Styela clava: one gene and its partner. The protein of the gene in region 1 purifies or fractionates together with the protein of each later gene. This does not show direct contact. Links are inferred from orthologs where the notes say so. Each region holds a gene or a part of one and is shown in the gene's direction. Other genes may lie near its edges. The genes, in order: WW domain-containing oxidoreductase-like and WW domain-binding protein 2-like.

The links.
Region 2: the proteins of WW domain-containing oxidoreductase-like (region 1) and WW domain-binding protein 2-like purify together in Homo sapiens (affinity purification with mass spectrometry; 3 studies listed by BioGRID and IntAct, with this or other methods). This does not show direct contact. The link is inferred for Styela clava from reciprocal best matches to the Homo sapiens genes WWOX and WBP2.

Annotation. Positions count from the first base shown.
Region 1 is NC_135260.1:12,231,023-12,238,264, forward strand, and holds the start of WW domain-containing oxidoreductase-like, read left to right. Parts: upstream 1-4,106; 5' UTR 4,107-4,211; coding exon 4,212-4,309; intron 4,310-5,605; coding exon 5,606-5,670; intron 5,671-5,997; coding exon 5,998-6,055; intron 6,056-6,554; coding exon 6,555-6,736; intron 6,737-7,242. Other genes in the region: integrin alpha-1-like, read right to left, coding at 97-253, 490-601, 742-876, 1,108-1,274, 2,224-2,405. UniProt on the Homo sapiens protein: Putative oxidoreductase. Acts as a tumor suppressor and plays a role in apoptosis. Required for normal bone development. May function synergistically with p53/TP53 to control genotoxic stress-induced cell death.
Region 2 is NC_135251.1:30,811,856-30,820,010, reverse strand, and holds the start of WW domain-binding protein 2-like, read left to right. Parts: upstream 1-5,008; 5' UTR 5,009-5,098; coding exon 5,099-5,434; intron 5,435-8,155. UniProt on the Homo sapiens protein: Acts as a transcriptional coactivator of estrogen and progesterone receptors (ESR1 and PGR) upon hormone activation. In presence of estrogen, binds to ESR1-responsive promoters. Synergizes with YAP1 to enhance PGR activity.

The DNA of each region.
Region 1 (7,242 bases):
CGAATGTACGTGGGTTCAAATGTAATGGAACCGTTTTGTCCACCTGCCTGTGAGTCCGTCAAATCTTTCATTCTATAACCATAATCATGCAAATACCTGGTAGGGTTCAAATGATGCTACAGTTACCCATCCCTCGTGCCACATGTCTCCTTGATCATGATCTATTGACCATATCATTCTTGGCCCGGTCATATTAGTGTAAATATAGAAATTCAAACTCCCCATACTTTCTCCTCTCATATGATACCAAAACCTGTTATGGCAAAGACTTGTTATCTTATTTTCACACCAACTAAACAGATGTAAAGTGTGTTTGGTATATATTGTGTATATATAAGGTTTTTTAAAGATTCAATTAGCTATGAATCATCTAATTTTCACATTAAGGAATACATTAAAACATGATATGCCATTGCGTATTAGATGAATTTCTTTAATATGTATTAATGCTAATGTCAAATTTAATCATCATTTCATTGCTTTTCATACCTCACACAAGCACCATTGGAGGATTTCAATACAGGCGTCGACATTACTGCTGTTTCTCCTCCAGTTCTCGGATTGGAGCATTCCAATAGCATGTAAGATCCCGTGTCTGGCTCTATGAACAACGTTACCAATAATGTAATAAGTAAATAATTTTACAAGAGCTGTAAGCGTTAAAATATATTTATGAAATGGAATACCGAAATAAATTTACGTTGTATTTGAAAACAAATAAATAAATATTTAAAACACTACTTTGTATTGTATGATCATGTGATGGCCCCGTCTGATCAGAGCTCGTTGCTCCAAGTTTAATTTCCCAATCGAAATCATCATCGGCCATCTGCGAAAGAGATGTCGTCTCGAAATCGTATTTCAGAATAGGTCTGTCTAAATAAAAATCATTTCGCTGTAAGACACTAAAAGTAGGAATACTTCGCACATAGTGCATGCCCACGTGGGCACAATTATTCTAGTTTCCTTTAATTGAAGAATTGCACGTTGCACATTAGTATTAAAAACACTGCGCAAAGATGAAAAAGGCAAAAGAGACGCGAGTGATTTCATCCGAGAATTAAATAAATTGATACAATTTGGGTATTTTTGCAGGTTTGCGCATACCGTTCTCTAAGTTGTTGTCCTTGTGAAAAAGTGAACAATGCCCTGGCAACTTCATTTCTCCTGCAACTCCTTCCCGTAAAGTACATGAATAAAGGACGCCCGCTGTTGTACTAACGAGATTCGAAGTTGACCCAAGACTGTCATCTCTAGGAACACTGACAAGCAATCTGAAAAAATTAAAATTACTATACAATATCGTTGAATGATAGGATTCCTCGATAAATTGGGATTTACTTTTGAAATTAAAATATACGCAGAGAATTTCGTTATGGAATTTGTTTGGTTCCCCCATGGCATGCGAACCAAGATGGCAAAACGTAGTGTGTGTACCAGGTTAGGGTTAGGCCAGGGGTGGGCAACTTCTCTAGTCGGCGGGCCGGATGTGGGAAAATGAAGTCCTCGGGGGGGCCAGATTATAACATGGATAGTATTCAATATCTTAATCACATATTTATTGGCTATTGCAAGAAAGAAAGTTATAAATCATGTTTAAAGTAAAGTTTAAACTTTAGACCAAAAAACACATAATGAATTTATCATAATGTACTGAAATTGTAATAATGTAATATCATAATGTACTGATGTACAGTCAGCGGGCCGGACCCGGCCCGCGGGCGGTATGTTGCCCACCCCTAGGTAAGGCCATAATTTTATTCCAATTTTCCTTATTTTAGTTCTATTACAAGTTCGGGAACTAGCCAAGTGACGCCCGTAGTATTTGTACCACATATTACGTTCCGGTGTCCGCCATCTTGGTTCGTATACTACAAGGCTACCATTTGTTCTATCAATTTACCATGTCGCGTTGCATTATAAAAACAGTGATTTATTGGATTTGCCCTCAAATGTTGCAGTTGTTGTAGTAAGTTATTATTACATGCAGTTCGGTTACAGTTATTTTTTCAAACACTTTGACGGAAAAAACAAAGGGGGAAAAGATGAGTTGATGAGCTCTGAAGTATTGTGAAAAAAAAAAAATGTGAAACTATGTCATTTTGTCAGACGGGAAGTACGTGCAATTCCAACGTCATTTCCGGATAACGCACATTTTACACTAGACATACATATTTTAATTTGAACAAACTAATTCAGAAATATACAATATTTATATCCCACCTTGTTTTACCATCGCTGTTTTTGTGCAAAGCCACGTCATAACCAAACTGGGAATCAGGCTTGAAGTTTGATAACATTACGCCCGTTGATAAATCTTGTAAATTGAAACTAGCGACAAATTTGAAGAATTCCATAAATATTACATATTTCATTCCAGATGATAATACACAATCTTTTCTCATTGTGTTATCTAACTCTGCCATTTATTTAAATATATATATATTTGTTTAGACCTAAACCTATGAACGCTGATTAATTTATTGCCAATGTAAAGCCTAACACAATAGTAACTGTTCGACTTGAGGTAGCGGATTATTACAGCACGATCATTCACATCGGTACATTTACTATAGGGAAGCATTCCGCATATTCAGGTAGAATGTTTCAAATGTTACCGGCAAGAACCCAATCGGGAACTACTACGCGGTGTCAAAGAACAGTGATACTCGCTTGACCGCATGATCTACGTTAGCTTCTTTAAAAAATGAATCAATGAATAAATAAATAGAACAAAACAAAAGCATGTCTACCGTCATGTGCCACACCAATAATGCGATCGGTTCTAGATGATTTTTCCTCCAAATGAACAACAACTCATCTATTAACATAGAACCCTTTTCACTACGTTAGAAAAAACAGTGTCAATTTTCAATTATTTTCATTTATTTTACACCAGTTCCTACCACTCTTCCCCAGCGAATGAAATCGAAAATGAATTTTTTTTTGTTTCCACATCAGAAATAACGGTTCACAGATATCAACGAACGAAATTTTCAGTTGCATTCACCTGATCCTATTTATTATTAAGCAACCACGCATGTGATCAGCCTTTTATAAGAAACGTATTTGAAATATTTCCCAAAATAGTTGTAGCCCGGAAGACGTCTTGGTTGAAAACTTCCTCGAATGAGGAGGTTTTACGTCATAATAATTGTAACCATGTTTCGGTAGTTCATACATTTGTACAGATTCATTTATTTTTTTATACTTTCACATCACAGCCTGTGAAAAACTCTAACAAATGACGCCAAATAGCGAAATCGGAATGCAAGAGGGTATAGATTAGGATGTGAAAGATAATTTTGATGATTAATAAGCCTATTTAAAACTATAAATTTAACACATTTCAATATTCCAAAAATTCGGCAAAGAGTTTCACAAATATGATTGGCTGGTCTATAAGTGGCAAATAACAATCTTTTTTAAAACCCAGGATATAAAACCTATTTTTGCTACGTTTGCATATATTGTATTGGAATGTATTCAACTGCAAATAAGTAGCCTAATATTAAATATAAGTTCAACTGCACTTCTCGAATGACTTTAAAAAAAAAGCTCAATTCGATCTGTGGCGTCAGCTGTTCACTTTTTACTTTTGAATTTTCTATATACTTAACGCCCGCACTGCAAAGAAATAACAGCACCACCGTACAAAGCTTTTATTTCATTTTATATTATTTAATTTTAAATAGACGATTGTAAATTTAATTTGTTTGGTATTTACCAACGACTAACATACCGGTATTTACTGAATGCACCAATATTATGGTTGTTTGCTATTCCTTCCAACTGTCAACCGGACAAAGGGACGTGGTTCTCTACATTTGGTGTTTTTCGAATCTCTTCGGGATACCTAAGAAACTCCCCATTATTAGTTGTTTGATATATAGACCAAAATTCCATTGTTCCGAATAGAGTAAAACAAGTTAAATCTAAATTGCAGTACTTTTTGTTTTGGGATGAAATGGTATACTCGATAGCTAAACATCTACATACTTTTTAACTGTACGTAAAATCGTAAAAAATCATAAAATGTATACATTGAGGTTTGTTGTGTGGTCAAAGGTCGTTTATCGAACACCGAAAGGGCGGACTTTCCCCGGTATGTGGTGCTTCCCCCGTTTTGATGCTTAGGCCGATTTTTTGCAACTTTCAGACTTTAGCTTTTATTTAATTTTAATAGTCAAAGACTCTTAAACTACGAAAGGATGCCTGTTGATGATTTATATGACACAGACAGTGACGATGAATTGCCACATGGATGGGAGGAAAGGGCGACCGAAGATGGATGGGTTTATTATGCAAGGTAGGGTACGGTACCGAGATGCCTGAGCCTGTGCAGCTGGCCTATCTGGCTACAGAGCTATGACTGTATGACTGTACGGCAGTACGGTAGGTGACTTTGCGACACTACCGGTACCTGGTACCGTACTGTGGTACGGTGTATACTGCAGTAGTTAACTGGTGCAAATTTAGTAAAAACCCATGATTGGTACAAATGATGAAAACAAGTGAAAACTAATTAAACCACTGGATCATGTCTGTAAATACATGTTGTGACTCGTGACGCAGACGCACACATCCTAAATTTTAATGAAAGTTCCGATAAATTCATGCAAGCTGAAATCATATAGCTTGCCAAAGCATAGCTACGATCGTCTAAAATAGCATCTGTGCCGACGATATCGAACTCGCTAACGCCAGCGATCTCACTCATATCGGGATTGTTACGACGAGAAAACGTGAGAAATAGCTTGCTCGACTTCGGTTAATTGTCTGTGCGTTTTGGATGATCATCGTATATTTTGGCTGGCTTCATTATGTCACTGTAACGTCGTAGTGACACAATTTTTGGATGACATAGTCAGGTGGGGGTTAGGAATGACATGAGAAAAAATTGTTGCACCATGCCCACTAGAAGTTACTGTGGTACGAAAGTACACGAGACCCCGAAGAGACGCACATGGACAACAGTGTGAAAAAACTAGAGAATAATTCTGGCGAATACCTTTGGTATCAAAGAAAAACAAATTTTATTTTCTCATTTGCGACACCATAATTTTTTCAAATTCGAGTCAAAGTCAAGGGTAATTTTTCCCGATTCGAGATCCCTGCTTCACCATCCAAATCTGGTTACCCACAACTGACAATTGTTATCTTACATTGACTAATAAAAGGCTGCTGTTTGTCTTATCATTAAGCAGAGGAGTTATCAGCTTTCTGCTATTGTGTTAATTTACATTTAATGTATTTCAACAATGTTTATTTAATGAAGACTGCTGTGAAGATTTTTTTTTCATGTTTGTTATATATATTCATTCATCTCTTGTTTGATGGTTCATTTTGATCCAATTTCAATCATGGCCTCAATCATGAAAAGAGTTTCTTATTAAAATATTAAAAATATCCAATAAACTGTCAGAGATATTGCTAATACACAAACAATCATGAATTTAATATTATCGAATTGCACCAGACCAAACTGCCTCTTTTAAATAGTTTAATGTGTATGTTATTCTTGGGGATTCAAATAATATTTGCTTGATTGCATATGATATTAATTATCGTTTGTAATTATTGCTACGATTTGTTTACTTTTCAGCCATTTGTTAAAGAAAACTCAGTGGGAAAATCCAAAAAGTGGAAAAAGAAAAAGAGTAGCTTCAGGTTTTTATATTAGGCTCTTATATGATATATATCTGGAACTCATTTGATACACATATATCTCTGGCATAACATTCATTTACCTCAAACCAATTTTTAGACATATCAAAAGTTCATGGTTCACGTTTATCATGACAACTTAGACTGAAGTTTACTTGGGAATGTTAAAATCTTTATCTGCTATTTTTAATGCTATTTGATTTATATGTGATGTCTAGTTTGCAACATCAAACAGAAAACATTGTATGAGCATCTTGAAAAATATTTACATAATCTATCATATTTCTATCTATACAATTTTTTTTTTCAGAATTTGTTTTATTTTTCCAGAATTGCCTTATGGTTGGCAGAGGAAGGTTGATGAACAAAATAGAATTTTCTATGTTGAGTAAGTACTTTGTTGCACATGTGAACACATGTAACATGTCTTTCACATATGCAAGTGTGTATGATTCTGAAATATCTTATTTGTACTATGAATGGCAATTTGGTAATCTAAAATAAAATTAAAAGATTTCTGACATTACTAAGTTTTAAATTTAGTTTAGATGGAAGGCTGAATATCTGCCTCGCACTTTAAAATTTTTTTTGACTTTGTGGTAAGAAGACTAATTTTTTACACTGAAAACAATGGTTTATGATTGATTAGTCCTGTATTGTTTCTTTCACACCGCTCTGTTTTTATTGTAAATACCAAAAAATAAAACATACTTTTGAAGAAACTGTTGAAATTTTTAACTTTGCTTTTGACAATCACAACAGTCAAATTGACTGTCCCCCTCAGTTTTAGCCACATTGATATGCATATATATATATAATCTAAAAATCTTTTCAGTAGTGTATCAAACTTTTCTGTACACATGTTGAATATATATAATTACTTTTAGTCATCTGAATCATCGTACAACATATACTGATCCTCGTCTTGCGTTTGCATATGATGTTGAAGATAAAGATAGATATAGTTTTAGACAAAGGTTTGATTCCAGTAGTACTACAGATCAAGTATTAGAAGGAAGAGATCTCTCAGGGAAGGTTGCAATCATAACTGGTGCAAATTCTGGAATCGGTAAGTATGCCTTCAATTAGGGAGGGGGATCAAACCTGAATTCATGAATTTGAAAATTAGTTATATTCGATACAGTTAGTTCTTGATTTTAGGAATAATACAGATTGCTTGCATTTGAAAATTTGTCACTTTGTATATTTGAAATCTGATGGCCAGACAAAAGATAAATCAAGTTTTACTCCCTACAATGTAAAAAAGAGAAAGGATATCTACGAAAACAATGTTTATTTCAAAGTTTCTCCATAGCCAAATTTAATTTATGAAGGTTTGTTTAAATTAATTACTCCGTTGAGCACACTCACAATGTGACTAAATCAAGGTTTAGGTAAAACTTGCATGAATATCTAACTGCAAGCACTTGAAGTGGAAGATGTTCAGTAATTGCAGATCCTGCTAAGCGTCAGGAATACGCTCGCCACCACACCTTTGATTACCCTGCGTGGGTTTGCAGGCTGAATTCTGCGAGGGATAATTATTTGTCGGAGGATTGCTGGACTATTTGCACT
Region 2 (8,155 bases), on another chromosome or scaffold:
AATCAAGCGACCTCTGTAGCATAACAGAAGCAATAACGCTTTGTCTTACATATATTTACGGTCTAACTAAAGACGTTATGCCAAGCTACAGTGTTTAGAAAGAGGGATTTCGCGAGCTGTTGGAAATATCAGACAAACGGTACCGTTTACCAAGCTGGAACTATTTTATAGGAACAGCCATACCAGCTTTGTATGAGAAGGCCAGAATAAATGTAGAACGTTAAGTCACGGAAGCTGCTCACGTTTGTCCAATTAGCCTGTCAGTGCATTACATTAACGAAAATTAGGAGATAGATTCATACCGTTTGAAACGCACTTCATACCGGACCACACTGGATCAAATATTGCAGACACGCTGGAGTGTATGCTTCAATCTTAGGAGTTACAGACAGAAAAATAACATCATCGCGGTAACAATAGACAACGGGACGAATGTGAAATCGGCATGCAGCCTTATTGGATTGACCCGCATTTCTTGCTTTGGCAACAATTCAAACCTCGCAATGACAAACTCGCTGAAAGATTTTCACGTCACTCGAACAATTTCTGTATCGAAAGGACTGGTGGGTGGTGGCATGGTTTTCTCACAGTTTCAAAAAAGCGGGATCTTGAAATTGCCAAGAAGCGGTTCAATCTTCCGAGCCGCATGGTCGTAGTAAACTGTCGGACCAGGTGGAGGTTGCTATTTGACAAGATCGAAAGAATTTTGAAACAACTGGAAGCGATCTATTTGAAGAATGTAAAAATCTAAACGATGACTCATTGAATGGCGATAGCTTGAAAACGACAGGTGTATGGGAAACAGGAGTATTCGAAATTCAATGCATTTACTTAAAGTCTTAAAAATAGATATTTTAGATAAATTATATGCCTTTCTGACAAACAGACACAAATTGCTCGTACAATGTAGAACCAAACTTCTATAGGGGGTGCGTTAGAACGGGTCAACTATACATACATAATCAAAATAAATCAACTCTGTTCTGCACTGTTTTCCATGGAATGATCACGAGTTTATATCAGTAATCTTCATTAAATAACCCAACATGACGCACCCTAACCTGGTGCACATACTGTGTTCAGGTTGTGCGCCATCTTGGTGCATATATTTCTGGAGCTCCAAAATTTCTTTGATTTTGCTTATGGGTGTGCTCATATTGCGTCTGTTAGGTTATTCAAAGATGTTGAAGATTACTGATATAAACTCATGATCATTCCCTACTACTGTATACTGTTTCCCATCAAATTGTTTAAAATTTCACGAACGCTAATAAATAATGAAAGAAAAATGTTTCCCTCTCCTCTGCGCTGTTTCCGTCTCTTCTGCGCTCTATTTAGTAAGGAGTAAGACCGCTTAATTTGAGGAAGTTTTGGAGAGTTGGCGCTTACAAACTGGTTTATATGTTCAAATCCATCATTTTTATTAAAAATTATCAACTACGTTCCGATTTCAGATACTCATAGCTAATTTTAGACTAGTCTATCGCAGCGACTGCAGGGCTAATTTTTGACTTTTGTAACTAAACTGAAGATTCTCAAAAGTCATAATGACAATTAAAATTATTTGATTTATAACTATTTTTGGGAAACACAACTGAAAATTGATAAATAACACATAGAGCCATGAAAACGAGGCAATGTTTACAACCATGCTTGGATATCTAACTGCCCGAGCGAAACAAGTGCTGGGCGTCGATATTAATTGTTACGTAATTGTTTACTTATTGATCATTGTTACGGAAATAAATAAGGAATCCGTAATTTGGCGAAACACCCATTGCTAACAAAGGGCCCATGTGGAAAGGTTCAATTTTATGCCAGCTGTAGTATCTCATACCGGTTTCTTCAATTCGGAGCATACATCTTTCGCGCAATCTTGGATTGCACCATTTCCTGAATCTTTGTCGTGTGTTTTTATGTGGATTACCATGTATGTTTGATTTTTACTTTCCGATAATCTAAATAACATCTATTCATCTTCTTTAAAAATTATTTCTCACGCCAATGACGTGGTTTAATCTCATTGCTCACACCGCTCAATATAAAAGATAATATATATGACATGGTGTGGAGAGAGGGTCTGTTATATAAACTATTCAAAATTGAAGTGCGTGGCAGTATTCATCAATGGATTAGATTATTTCTCACAACACGCTCATTTCAAGTCCGAGTATATTCGTCGATGTCGGCTACAAAACGATATTCCCTAAGACAGTGTTCTCAGCCCAATTCTGTTTTCCGTTATGATCAATGACTTGCCACAAAATGTCCCTTCATTGGTGAAACTTTTTGCTGATGATGGAGCTTTCTGGGAGACCGGATTGCATATCCCGGAAATAGTACCAAAAGTTCGATCTCACTTAAATGCCATAATAACTTGGTGTGATAGGGCGGGGGGGGGGGGGGTTGAACTTTCCACCACAAAACCCTGTATCGTGCTTTTCACCAAGCGCAAGGAAATCCCTACAATCCATCTTAGAATCAAGGACTCAGTAATACCTGTCACATTCGATTTTAAATATTTGGGCGTTGTGTTTGACTCAAATGGACGTTTTTGTTTTTTTGCCGTCCAGTAAACAAAGTCACGTGACCCGTGCAAGTCCTCTATATCCAGATTATCTGGAGAAATATACTGATGGATATCGCAAAATAGGCCTTAAAAAGTATTAATATTCTGATTGGTCTTTCTGCATTGGAAAGCATACAGAATATTTGGAATGTTAAGCATTTTTTATCGACAAAAATACAACTACTTCATGCTATTATTTGTCACACGACGGATATCAAGTTTCTGTGGATACCAGCACATATTGGTATTAGCGGTAATGAGGCAGTGGATCGGCTGGCGAAAGACGGAGCAAATGGAATTGTCATCAATGCAGTTCTCCACCTGTCATTGGAAGAAGCTAAGACATTATGCAAGCAAGCATGTCTAGCAAAATAGTATTTAACATATCAAGCTAACGATACTACAAGCCATTATAAAAACTTTCGAACTCATATAGCCCAAAAGACTGTCTATTTCAATTTTTCCCGCCAAAAAGAAATAGTATTTTTTCGTCTTCAAACTGGACATCTCAGACTCAACTATCATTTATTTAAAATACGGCTACATTCCACAGGGCACTGTAGTTAATGTGACACGAATGAAACTGTTTCCCATTTTATTTTATATTGTCCCAAGTGTAGTAACCTACGATTGCGAATTAAGACATGAAGCAGCAAAAATGAATGTGCCCCGGAAAATTATTTGTATTTTCAATGTTCCTGATTTGGTTCCATTTATCATTAGTTTTGCAATATCCACCAAACGAGAGTTGTGAACCTATTTTATTGTATCATACTGACTACTTTTTTTGATATTTGGCGCAAAAGACCCAGTTGTCAAAGACGCCAAAAAACCTTTTACCCTTACTACCCTAATATATTCCCATTGCGCCACTGCACTGACGACCGAAAGTGAAGTCACGTGCAGAGGTCGTATGACACAAAGTGACTATGTGACTTGGTAGGTATGACAAAGAAAATGTTTTCATAGTGGCAGATACTGTCTAGCACTAGCAGCCCATTGCTGTTGTGTGTAAAGATCGACAGCAGGGATCGGTGTATATCACAAGTGATAAATGAAAATATTATTATCACGACCCCGAGATGGTTGTAGAAATTTCACCTGATTGCAGGTATTGATTACCGCACAGCTAGGTATATCTCTGTTGGTGCTGTGGTAGAAAGCCTCGGCGCAGTCGGCGTTACCTCATATACCTGTATACAGATAACGTTATATCTCAAGCCATGACTGCATGAATTCAGGGTTGCTATGTGGCTTTTTAACACCAAATTCGCCATTTTTGGCTTTTTTCAAACACGATTGGCGTCAGAATTTACGTTTGGCTTTTTTCTTGACTTTTTTCAGTCTCCTTCAATGTGTATTATTAAAAATCATATGAAATACATTATACAATATTTAGTGTGTAACAATAGCCTATTGCTTAGCTATTTAACATTTGGAAGAGCATCGATTTTCTTGTTTATGACCATAACCAACAAAAAATAGTTGCAGTTTCTGCAGCCGCTCAAACAGATGTTCAAGCGGGGTTGTAAACATTGCCATGCTTTTAGTTATTTGTCAGTGTTCAGTTCTGTTCCCAAATATAGTTGTATGACTTAATTGTCATTCCTGCATTATGCCTTCCCAGGAGCTTTAGTTTAGTTGCAGTAATCAGAATTTAGTGTCACGAACGATTGTGATTAAATACGCTAAAATTAGCCATCAGTAGTCCGCCTGCAGACCTGTAAGCGGGCACATGGTTAGATAATTTTTTAAATAAAAATGATGGTTTTCAAAATGTTCAGTGAGAATGTTTTAAGGTATATCACAAACTGAAGCGTCACCCTGTGTATATATATTGAATTGTTGAGTGATGCTGTCCGCTTGATATTTCCTTCTATTTTTTTTATTTTCCCAACTCTTTCATATAGATATCAGTTTGACTGTATAATGTCAAATGTAGGTTCTGGTGCTGCCATTCAATTAACCCCTTTTCAACCCTCCATCTCGCTGAAGCGGAAATCGCCATGATAGCTAGCAACTGAAAATACAACTTTCAATGACTGAATGAGAAAAGACATTTGTGTGGCTCACTAAATGCTCTACATCAGGTGCTTTTGTAATTAGTAAAATTGTTGGCTTTTGCTGGCTTTTTTTTCGTCTCAATTTGGCCCTTTTTGATCACTAGGACAGTAGGATCTGGCAACCCTTTGCATGATGCTGTAATAGGATGGTTATGTACGGTACCTACTGACCTACAGCGAAAACTATACAATGTTGGGCGTTATTTAAGAAGTTCCCGGAACAAACACACCAACCTCGAACAGTGTCAGACATCGAAACATTGCAATTTGAAAGGCAGTTAAATGAGCATTTATAATTGAAGCCGCATGAGAATTTTTTTACAATTTTATGCACATGATACTACTCAACTGTGTTAATGCAAATAACAAAAACTAAAAGGATTTTACCTCTCTAGATTTACTCTAAACCCTGAAACTATAAGTTGGTAATATTTCATCACCTGGACCTTGCAAAACTTGTGCAGTCATGTCTATCAATAGATCGGCAGGACTCCAATTATTTCAAGGCGAGCTGACTGTGCAACAACACAAAGATGTTGAACTGAAATTCAAGAAGGTCAAATATTCATCTGAGCACTTGAAGGGATCGAAAGTCGGCCAGCTTTATCTTACGAATTTCAGAGCATTTTTTGTGAACAGCAAAACAAATGACATGCTACAAAATTTTAGCATGCCATTCAAACTCATAAAGGATTTTGAGATCAAGCAACCTGTGTTTGGCGCGAACCACTTGGAAGGAAAAATAATGGCTGAAGAAGGAGGTGGATGGCAAGGTTCCGCAGAATTTGAAATGACATTCAAGGTAATATTGATTTATTTTATTCAAGTACAAATAATGAAATTAAAAGTTAGCTGATTTTACCTTGAATTTTTAAACTCATTTCCTGGTTGATGCCATCACATAATATTTGGGCTCCCTAATTGAGCCTTGGAATGTATATTACTGTATTAGATGCATTGAAACATAACTATAATCTATAATATACATATCCTGTATAATGACCAAAAACACATTTTTTTTCCTTCTATCGTATCTCACCAACTAACATTGTATTTGTAACATGTATTCCTTTCCGGAAAAGTAAGTGTTAGTGATCAAATGAAATAAGCAGAACCTTATGATGGTTAAAAAATGAACCTGACTTGAAGGAAAGAATACTGACTCTTAAATTTGAGAATGGTCAATCAAGTGAACCTCGAAGAGAGAAATCAGCTGTGTGTGTCATGTGTAACAGCCATGCAATACATATAAGGTTATCATACAGCCCCAATTTGAAGTCCCAATGCTGTATATTGGAGCTCCGCTCTATAGGAGACCCTTATTCTCAATCGTTCTGTCTGTCTGTTTAGATGTAGCCTCTAAACGACTAGATCAATTTGGGTGAAATTTCTTATGTGAGTTAACCTGTCGAGTGTCATCCTAGTATTATGCGTATGAAATAAGCAGAACCTTATGATGGTTAAAAAAATGAACCTGACTTGAAGGAAAAAAATACTGACTCTTAAATTTGAGAATGGTCAATCAAGTGGACCTCGAAGAGAGAAATCAGCTGTGCGTGTCATGTGTAACAGCCATGCAATACATATAAGGTTATCATACAGCCCCAAGTTGAAGTCCCAATGCTGTATATTGGAGCTCCGCTCTATAGGAGACCCTTATTCTCGATCGTTCTGTCTGTCTGCTTAGATGTAGCCTCTAAACGGCTAGATCAATTTGGGTGAAATTTCTTATGTGAGTTAACCTGTCGAGTGTCATCCTAGTATTATGCGTTTCCTTGAAAGACTGGATTGTTGTTTCGCTTCCACGGCAGCAACCACAAAACATCCGATTGTGAGAAAATTTCTAATTTTTTGACATTCTGTTGCAATTTTCTTGTAAATTAAGTCGAAAATTAGAATTCTGAGATTGCTACCTCTCGCGAGAGAAAATGCTTTCTCTAACAAGCCGCCATTCATCTCGATACTCTATAAACTGGTGAAGCCTTTGGAATTAAATTGATTGATTGATGGAATTTTAGTGAACATGTTTCAATAATTAGCAACATTTTATTCCTCATGCAACGCTAAAAAGCAGACGCACAGCGTTCAAAATGAACAGGAAATATCGCCATCGGTAACAGGCAATATCGGTGATTGTTATTGCATGCGTAAATGGTCTCGGAAATAAAAGAGATTTGTATTCGAACGAAGTTACTGGTGACCACTAGAGTGCTACAGGGACTAAAACGAATTGGATCATCGCGATAGCATAATACAGACGCGGGGCTGAGTATCAGCGGAGATCCCGGGCGCCTACCGACTTGTTTTTTCATGTGACTCGTTCACGAAACCTTAGAGAAATTCTCAAGTACATAAATGTACTAGGGGAACTTGGATATTGTGTATTGAACTGCAGGTCCTTTCTCCTTGATTACTTTCTACTTCGGATCCGTATGTGGCACAGTAAAAATAACATGATCTCTTTCAACGAAATAGTAAGTATATTTGTGAGCTTTCGTTAGATCATGGTCTAACTTCTTCAAACAATACAAGATATAACTGTAAATATAAAAGATCATATAAATTTAGCCTATTATTGAGTTTCCTATAACTGGATATGGATGCTATCGTATCATCTTAGAATAGCAGGTCTAACTGATGTGGTTGGGTTGGGGTTCATCTATTTGGGTAGTTTCCTTTGTTTGTTTTTCATCGTTATTTGTTTGTATTGTTGTTGTTGTTTTGATGGTACTGTTTGTTTTTTGGTTTCATATTTGCGTTAAGGCCACTTCTTCGTTTGAGTTTTAATCTTTTCTATTGATTCCTTGTGGTTGCCGAGTCTTCATTTTGTCAATCCAAAAATGCTCTTTGTTTTTCCTGTAAAGTTTGTCGTGGGTTAGTGAGTCAATTCCTAGAATACTGAAATCGTCTATATTGTGCCCTTGCCTGTTAAAATGGTTGGCAACTGGTGTTGGGGTCTTTTTCCGAATGTCCCTAAGGTGGTCTGCCGTACGAGACTTTAATTTTCTTCCCGTTTCTCCAATGTACTGTGCCTGGCATTTTTTACAGGTGATTAGATATATTACATTTCTCGTGTTGCAGCTGATTTGTTTAAAGATTTGGAACTGTTTGCCGGTCGATGTGCTTCTGAATATTGAGATTTCAAATGAATGTTGGCAGGTCGTGCACCCTTTTCTGTTGCATTTTTCAAATCCTTTTTGGTCGGCTTTTTTGTGTTCCACTTTTAATTTTGCTCGCACAAAATAAATCCCTTAGTGTTGGACATTTTCGGTAGCCTATAATGGGGGGGTTTGGGAATATTTTCTGCAGTCGCGCGTCGCGGTGTAGGATGTATGGGTACTTTTGAAATATTATTCTGATTGCTTGGAGGAGTGGGTGGTACGCTGTGCCAAGAGGTGTGTCGGCTTTTTTGGTGTCAGTATCGTGGTTCTATCTGTATTTCTTGCTCGCTCTATGGCTTTGTTTAACAGGTGCTCGGGTTAATTCCTCTTTTTTAGATGCTGCTTGAGGATGTCACTGTGTT